2 linked regions of the Tribolium castaneum genome follow. The protein of the gene in region 1 binds, or shares a complex with, the protein of each later gene. Links are inferred from orthologs where the notes say so. Each region holds a gene or a part of one and is shown in the gene's direction. Other genes may lie near its edges.

Region 1 (4,265 bases):
GTAAAAGAAAATGTAAAAATTTGCATAATTTATTAAAACCATCAATTGTCATGTTTACTAAGAGACTATCACAGTCTTTATTGTGTATAAATGCCCCTAGAATTAATTAAACTTTACCCAACATTACAATTTCGCTTTTTTCACCACCAAAAACTTGGACACGTGCGGAGCCACAATTTCGGGGCTATTATTATGCACATCGTGGTGCCCATCCACATAAGTTATCCGTATGTTTCTATACTTTTTAAAGAAGTTTGTGACCCCTTTCATGTACATTTGCTGCAACTCTGAGTCGCGCCCCAAAACCATCAAAACGGGGCACGTGACCGGAAACTTTTTCAACGTTTCGAGAATGTACCGAAAATCGTGGATCGGGTTTATAAACTGTTTCATCCTCTGGTCGACCGTAAAGGCGTATTTCCCGTCGTCGGTCCTCTCAATCGCCCTTTGGAGCAGCGCCTCGGCCGCCTCACGACTGATGTAGCCGTTGGCCCTTTGGTCCTGCAGTTTCTGTAAGGCTTCGGCGTAAGTGTACGTTGGACGGGTCCCAGTTTTAATTTTCTGGTCCAATTCGATGCAAAAGTCCATCTTGTCCCTGAGGTTTTGCCGGAATTGGCCCGCATGGACGGGGAACAAGTGGATAGTGTCGAGCATTATCAGCTTTTCCACATATTCGGGGTACAGTTGGGCGAATAAAAAGGCGATCTGGCCCCCGTAGCTGTGCCCCAAAATCGTGTACTTTTCTTTTTTGAAATACTGGACTATTATTTTGTAAACTAGGACGTTATTAAGGGTGTAGGCTGGGAAAAACGGGGGGAAATGGCTCGATTTTCCGTGACCGGGCAAGTCGAAGCAAATGTAGCAAAATGATTTGGGGAGGAGCGGAATTAGGCGGTCAAATGAGCCCGCGTTGTCCATGATTCCGTGGAAAACGAGCACGAGAGGGTCGTTTTTGTTGCCCCATATTTTGGCTACGGTGACATAACCTCAGTTGTGATTATATTAGTGGTGTGGGGTTATTTACCTGCCAGGTGGCCCCAAGGTACCGTTATTGTGATTTCTTCAGTGTTCATTATGGTTATCACTTATCAATTACTTGTGTGGATGTGGCACCCGGTTATTCGTAACACGATTTTTTAATATTGTTCTAATAACTAATTTTGCTTATTTATTATTGTTTTATCACAGGTACAAGTTACAAGGTTTGCTCTTGCGTCACGTCTCCAGATCATTACAATAAAACAGCAATAAAGCGTCTCATTTTTGATAACAGATTTTGGGCAAAAAAAATGTTAAGTCATTGTGGGCTCATTACGTGTGATAATGAATCATAAGTTGTTATTATGTTATGCTGATAAGAGTGATAATGTTTTGGAGTTTTGAATTGGGCGCCCGGCTTGGGGTTTTTGTCGGCGGAGGTGCGTGGTTGGCAGCAGGTGTTCTCAAAAAATTCACAAATGATGCGTTCGGTGGACAGGCTGAGTGTAAATTTTACCACATTTTATAAATGAAAATTATCACAGTTCGGCTGTCGCATTAGTTAGGAATAAATTTGGCCATCGGAAATGAACGGTACAATTTTGATTATCTAGTATAGGTCCCGTCCAGTCCCAATAAAACGGCGAAGAATTGCATGCCATTCTTCTGGTTAATTACATTGCATTCTTTGTTTGTAATTACAATTGGCTTTGTAATTGAATAATCACTCGGTGTGAGCTGGTTATTTATCGATTGGGATTTAATCTTGAATAATAGATTTCGAGCGATTGATTTTGCCCCGTTTTAAAATTGTAGGTTATATAATTAGACAATTACATTGATTTTAGTGTACACAATGCCCGGAGTGGCCGACATGGGCATGGTCTGGATGGGTGCTGGGCAGCCCAACCCCGACATGTCCATGGAACTCATGTCCGGGGACAACTCGGACATGCTGCTGGAGCACGAGAACCCATATTTCACCCCATCCATACACAGCATGTCCAACCAGTCCATGGACGATATCCACACTATCCACAGCTCGCAAATGGTAAAGCCAGCTCTTTGTGCTTTGTTTTGGTGCTTAGTGGGTTATTTTAGGACGCTATGGAAAACCTAGATATGATGCAATATATCGACATGAAGCACGAAAGTAACGACTCAAGTTATGCCGAAGATGATAGTCAGAACCCTGTATATATGATAAACTCTGCCACGCAAACATTGCCCTGCTCTACGCGGAAAATCAAACCAATCAAACACCCTGGGTTGGTTTTGAAAACACCAATAGCCTACCAAAGCAATACGGACCCCTCAGTCATACCAATTCAAAAAGATGGAATTGGTGAGTTGCCCACAACCCCCTTGACGGCACGGACTTCACGCTGGGGTGTTAAATTTTATTTGTAAAAAACGGACAAAATTAAATTTTTCTTCTTATGACCATGTTGTCAGGTCTGGTAATTTTTTACCAAATCTCATAAAAACTTTTCGTTTTTTCTTTATTACTACACAAAAGAAAGTAAATCATCTTTACAAAGATATTGAAACATGCTTAAGCCGCTGGTTAAATCAAAAGTATTAAAAAATAATAATTGACAAAATGTTGAATTTTTCCAGCTGTTTGCGAGAAGTGCGGCGCCATCGGCGTCAAGCACGCCTTTTACACCCGAGAGCGCCGCTTCTGCAGCATGGCTTGCGCCCGCGGCTACAGCGGCCTGATCCCCGAGCCCTTGCCCCTGTCCCAGCAGCAAACCCCCGAACACCACCATTTCGCCAAACACCGCTTCACCATGAAAACCGAAGACGACTTTGCCAACACAGTCGTCGACCAGGAATTCCCCCAGCTGCCCCCACCGCCAGTGCTGCCCCCCATCGACGAAACAGTCCCGCTAATCCGTCGCAAGCCCTCCGAACTGGCGAACTCGCACGACTGGGATTCGCAATTAAACGACCAGTATTTCGTGGCAGCCCCTGTCACGTGTTTCAAACACGCGCCCATGTCCGACATTTGGGAGAATATCATGGTCGGGATGAAAGTCGAAGTGGAAAATACCGACTGTGATAACGTCTCAGAGGCGTTTCCCGACTCGTTTTGGGTGGCTACTGTTTTAAAAATCGTGGGGTATAAGGCGTTGCTGCGGTACGAGGGGTTCGGGTCGAATGATTCCAAAGATTTTTGGGTCTCGTTGTGTTCGAATCAGGTGCATCCGGTCGGGTGGTGCGCCACGAGGGGGAAGCCCCTGATTCCGCCGAAAACGATCGAGGACAAGTATAACGATTGGAAGGATTTTTTGAGCAAGAGGTTGACGGGGGCACGCACGTTACCGTCGAATTTTAGCAATAAAGCGAGTGATAGTCTTAAGTCTAGATTTCAATGCGGCCTTAATTTAGAAGTTGTCGACAAAAATAGAATTTCGCAAGTTAAGGTTGCCATTATTCATAAAATCGTGGGGAAGAGGCTGAATGTGAAGTATTTTAATATGCCGTCGGATGATGCGGGGTTTTGGTGTCACGAGGACTCGCCGCTTCTTCATCCCGTTGGCTGGGCAAAGAAGGTGGGTGATGTGATGGAAAAATAGTATATTATAGAGTGGGATTAAGGCACTTTGGTCCCGAGATATATACGCTATTTTTTGCACTAAGATACTTTAGTTTCTGTCTACAGGCACTGTAGTCATTTATTCTCTATGGAAAACACGCATTGATCACTTATTTAAAACGATACAGAAAATAATAACAATTTGTCTTGAAAATACTTGAAAATTTTAATCAAGAAGTGCAAATAATTTAATTATTATAGGCGTCCGTTTGTAACAACAGCTTATAACAATCTGAATAAACTCAAACGGTTCATTAGAATATTCATTGTGTAAGAATATTGATAAATCGTCATTAACAAAAAATGTAATTTGCAAACATGGTCAAATAATTCAGTTATTCTGACTAATTTTTTTCGGATTAAATTGACAAAATCTTTATTTGTCAAATTTATGGAAGGAAAATTTTTAAATAAATAGTATCCAACTCCAAAATATACATACTCGCTTTTAGTCTTTTTAGTTTTAAATAAAGGAAACCACAGAAAGTGGTTAACAAACTAGTGGTCTTACGTGAGCTGCAAAAAAATTGTTCAGAGATAAATCGATAAAAACTTTATTCGTCTTCTTTACTGAGGAAAAATTCTTAAATTAAATAAATTTTGTCTTTTGCTAAACGCCAATTATTTGAAATAAGTGCTTAGCTATTTAGAAACTGAAATTTTAAATGTGACACACCCAAGATCG
Region 2 (4,353 bases), on another chromosome or scaffold:
AGAATTAAATTTTCTACAAAAAAGTCCGCGACACGATATGTCTATCTCCAACGGTTTAGTTATAAATAAATTTTCCAATACTTGACCATCGGCAAAATGACGGAAATCCGACACTTGAGCGCCTTTGAATGACTTTGGGGCCTAAATGGTTGGAGATAGAGATATGGTCTTGGGGACTTTTTTAAAGGAAATTTAATTCTCTACAACTTTCCTCTGAACATTTTTCTTGTATCTGTAACCGTATTCGCAGCGTTTTGAAAAATATGGGGCAGAGTGCAAATCGGTAAAACTTTGAAATTTTTTAAAATATAGTTTAAGATATAATTTTTTCACTATTTTTATCTCATATTATTAAGAATTTGATTCTCTATCTGCCTGTATTTTTTATTTGCCTTGTGCTAACCGTTATTTAATTACAATTTTTATAAATTTATTGCTCTGAAAACAGACGGTAATAGAACAACTGCGCCTCTGGCGGCATTAATCGAACTATCGAGGACGGGGACGTTTTATTTGTACGTCGTTTTTTACGAGATTTTTTAGGATTGCTAGAAATATTTTATTTAAGCTTTGAACGTTTTCAGATAAAAAAATTCACAATCAGTCACATCTCAGTATCGGTCAATTTTTTTTGTATATCTTATTATTTTAAACACATATTAAAAAAATATATTGAATTTTCTAATTTTGTTGAGCCAAAAAACCTCAATTCTCGTCAAAGCTGTGGTTAAAGTTTTTATTTTGATTTAATAATACAGTTAAATTTAATACATACAGTTTTGCACCAAAAAAATGACAATTTTACAATTTTTTTATTTGTAATTGTACAATAAATAATCTCCCTAATAAACATTAAACATCGTATTTTTTTCTGGCAAAATCTCCAAGTGAACATATTGAAAGAAATATAAAGAAATAAACTTGACGATTTTTTTTCTTTATAAATTTTTTGAGTGTTTTCTTTTTTTTTGAATTTTAGAAATTATCAAATATTTTTTGCAGGTCCCAGAATAGACCTCAGCCTTCGCCGAAGCAAACTCCCCAGCGAAGACCTAATGAAAGAAGCCTTGCGCAAACCTAAAGAACTCAAAGTGAGCAAAAAGAAGAACATTAGTGTTGACGGCTTGGGCACAACCCACGGACGCATCCACGTCGGTAAACAAGAAATCAACAAAATCCAAACCCGCAAAATGAAGGGCTTGAAAAAAACCACCGACGAAAAGAAACTCAAACGAGCAGCAAAGAGAACAACTGACAATAACAATGTAAATAATAAAGTCAAAAAGCAAAAGCTTGGATAACGCGTCGGTGCAATCTTGTTGATGATTATTGTGTATAAATGGTTAAATTGTCTAGTTCTAAGGCTAGTTTTACGTGTATTTTTTATTTAATGACTATTTCAATAAACTTTTTTTATAAAAAAAAAAGGGAAAAATTGTGCGTTGTAGCGAAAATCCCCTAGAACACAGTCTAGTGATTTTGGGTTTCCATGTTGGTGTAATATACACAAACATAACGCGTTGTTGACATTTCGACGTCGTTGACATTGTGATGTATTTTTCCGTTTAATCCCGGTTTTGCGTCACTACCCCACTGCAGGCGCCCCCAGTGGTCTTTCCGATGTAATCGGTGCCGTAGCCCGTGCGACAGTTCTCCCCCGCCATGCCCCCAGCGCCCGCCTGATTTTGGAGGTAAACTGATGTTTTTGAAATCGTGCGATGTCGAGTAACCCCAACCCGACGCCGGGCAAGGTGCGGGGCCCCGGCCGGCCCCCCAAGAAGATCATCTCGTGCACGTGGTGCAACGAGAGCAAGCTGCCCCTCAAGTACGTGCTGCCGACCACCAACGGCAAGAAGGAGTTCTGCTCGGAGACATGTCTCGCCGAGTTCCGCAAGGCCTACATCAAGGGGGCCTGCCTCCAGTGCGACAACGTGGTCCGGGGCGCCAACAGCCCCTCGAAGGACTTCTGCTCGACGTACTGCATGAACAAGTACCAGAAGAAGGCCGAGTTGCAGAATCGGGTGGCTGCGGTCGCCCCCACGACGCCGCTCGAGGCCTCGCCGGGCCCCTTCCAGTACGAGACGTATCAGCCGTTCGACTGGGACGAGTATCTCAAAGAGACGAACTCGGTGGCGGCGCCCGCGAGCTGCTTCAAGCAGGCGGTGACGCCGCCACATAACGAGTTCAAAGTGTCGATGAAGTTGGAGGCGTTGGATCCCAGGAATGTCACCTCCACGTGCATTGCCACGGTGATCACGGTCCTGGGATCCAGGCTCAGGTTGAGGCTGGATGGGAGTGATAATAAGAATGATTTTTGGAGACTGGTTGACTCGAAGGAGATTAATCCCGTGGGGCATTGTGAGAAGTCAGGGGGGATGCTACAGCCCCCATTGGGTAAGGAAAAAATTAACAAAACCAAAATACAATGTTTTGAGTCTGAAATAATGTTTTAGAGACAATTTATTTTTTGTTATTTATAAATTTGCAGTTTATTTGCTTATTAATAAAATTATGTGGTAATAATTCTACTTAGAACTATAAGTTAGGAGACGAAACGAGATACAAAATCGCACCCAAAGATGTAGTACCGCAGTGTAAAAATGAGGGCGCTTTCAGCGTTGTGTCAAATCGTTTTAAATTAATTTAAATTCAACCAGTTGACTAATTACTTGGAAAAAAAATACAGAAATATTGAACTTTGCATTCTTAACAGACTGAGAAAAACTGACGACTAAAATTTTCATGAGAAACATGAGAAAAAAATTATTTAAAATTAAAAATTTGCACTTCGACTCGTATTTTTCAAAACGCTGCGAATACGGTTAAAGATACAAGAAAAATGTTCAGAAGAAAGTTGTAGAGAATTAAATTTCCTTTAAAAAAGTCAGCGAAACCGTATCTTTATCTTCAATAGTTTAGGCCCTAAAAACGTTCAAGCGACAGATTTCCTTAAATTTTTCGGTGGTTGAGTATTGGGAAGTGGATTTATACCCAAACCGTTGAAGATAGAAATATGGTGTCGCGGACTTTTTTGTAGCAAATTTAATTCTCTACAACGTCGTACCTTTCACTTTTTTGTATCTTTAAAAGTTTTCGCAGCGTTTTGATAAATAGGCGACGGTGCCCAAAAATTATCACTTAGAATTATTGCGTTCTTTTTGCAAACGCAGCGAATACGGTTGAAGATACAAAAAATTGAAAGACACGAGGTTGTAGAGAATTAAATTTTCTACAAAAAAGTCCGCGACACGATATGTCTATCTCCAACGGTTTAGTTATAAATAAATTTTCCAATACTTGACCATCGGCAAAATGACGGAAATCCGACACTTGAGCGCCTTTGAATGACTTTGGGGCCTAAATGGTTGGAGGTAGACATATGGTCTTGGGGACTTTTTTAAAGGAAATTTAATTCTCTACAACTTTCCTCTGAACATTTTTCTTGTATCTGTAACCGTATTCGCAGCGTTTTGAAAAATATGGGGCAGTGTGCAAATCGGTAAAACTTTGAAATTTTTTAAAATATAGTTTAAGATATAATTTTTTCACTATTTTTATCTCATATTATTAAGAATTTGATTCTCTATCTGCCTGTATTTTTTATTTGCCTTGTGCTAACCGTTATTTAATTACAATTTTTATAAATTTATTGCTCTGAAAACAGACGGTAATGGAACAAGTGCGCTTCTGGCGACATTAATGGGGACGTTTTATTTGTACATCGTATTTTAAATTAAACTAGTTATTGATTTGTGAACATTGTTTTAATAATTAATTCCTAGTAAAGTGTCTCAAATTTGAATAAATATATCGTACGTTTCGTGGAAGTATTTAAAGCGATAAAAACTGTTGTTTTGTTCGGTGGGATATTGATTGAAGTGTAAAACAAATGAATAATAAATCAAGTAAAGGGAGTGCTTTTAATCACTTGTCGAACAAACTTTAATTAGAGAGAAGTAAATAATAGAGAATACTAATGACTGTTCTAAGCCTTGTAGCTGTTATCTAATGAATAAGTGATACTATAAGGAACGCAACACTGTTAAAATACAAGAAAGTTTACCTTTTTTCACTTCAGAAAAAAACAAACAAACAAATTTAAACACTTTGACATGAGGATTTCAATTTTTGCTTTCTCAGTGAAAACAATGTGATAAATTATACAAATATGTAATAATTAATAAGTTTCTCAATTTCAAGTCTCTTGTCTCTTGCAAAAACTGTATGAGGACAAAAAAATTTCAGGTTTTCGCATGAACGCGAGTTCGTGGCCGATGTTCCTCACGAAAACGCTCAACGGTGCCCTAATGGCCCCCGCCAACATATTCCAAAAAGAGCCCCCAAGTCCCAAAT

Evidence for each region.
Region 2: the proteins of Sfmbt (region 1) and Scm are in contact, whole or in part, in a crystal structure (PDB 5J8Y), measured with the Drosophila melanogaster proteins. The link is inferred for Tribolium castaneum from reciprocal best matches to the Drosophila melanogaster genes Sfmbt and Scm. Residues at the interface, in NP_001260432.1 of Drosophila melanogaster: Lys1176, Asp1177, Met1180, Met1185, Lys1186, Val1187, Gly1188, Pro1189, Leu1191, Lys1192, Asp1195; in NP_001247006.1 of Drosophila melanogaster: Lys831, His832, Glu833, Ile834, Asp835, Lys837, Ala838, Leu841, Leu842, Met846, Lys849, Tyr850, Met851.

What each region holds. Positions count from the first base shown.
Region 1 is NC_087402.1:1,710,792-1,715,056, reverse strand, and holds the start of Sfmbt (polycomb protein Sfmbt), read left to right. Parts: upstream 1-1,420; 5' UTR 1,421-1,565; coding exon 1,566-1,572; intron 1,573-1,826; coding exon 1,827-2,029; intron 2,030-2,079; coding exon 2,080-2,323; intron 2,324-2,598; coding exon 2,599-3,536; intron 3,537-4,265. Other genes in the region: serine hydrolase-like protein, read right to left, coding at 124-971, 1,025-1,073. UniProt on the Drosophila melanogaster protein: Polycomb group (PcG) protein that binds to the Polycomb response elements (PREs) found in the regulatory regions of many genes.
Region 2 is NC_087400.1:404,757-409,109, reverse strand, and holds the start of Scm (polycomb protein Scm), read left to right. Parts: upstream 1-1,498; 5' UTR 1,499-1,718; coding exon 1,719-2,394; intron 2,395-4,245; coding exon 4,246-4,353. Other genes in the region: Non3 (ribosome production factor 2 homolog), read left to right, coding at 1,003-1,301. UniProt on the Drosophila melanogaster protein: Polycomb group (PcG) protein. PcG proteins act by forming multiprotein complexes, which are required to maintain the transcriptionally repressive state of homeotic genes throughout development.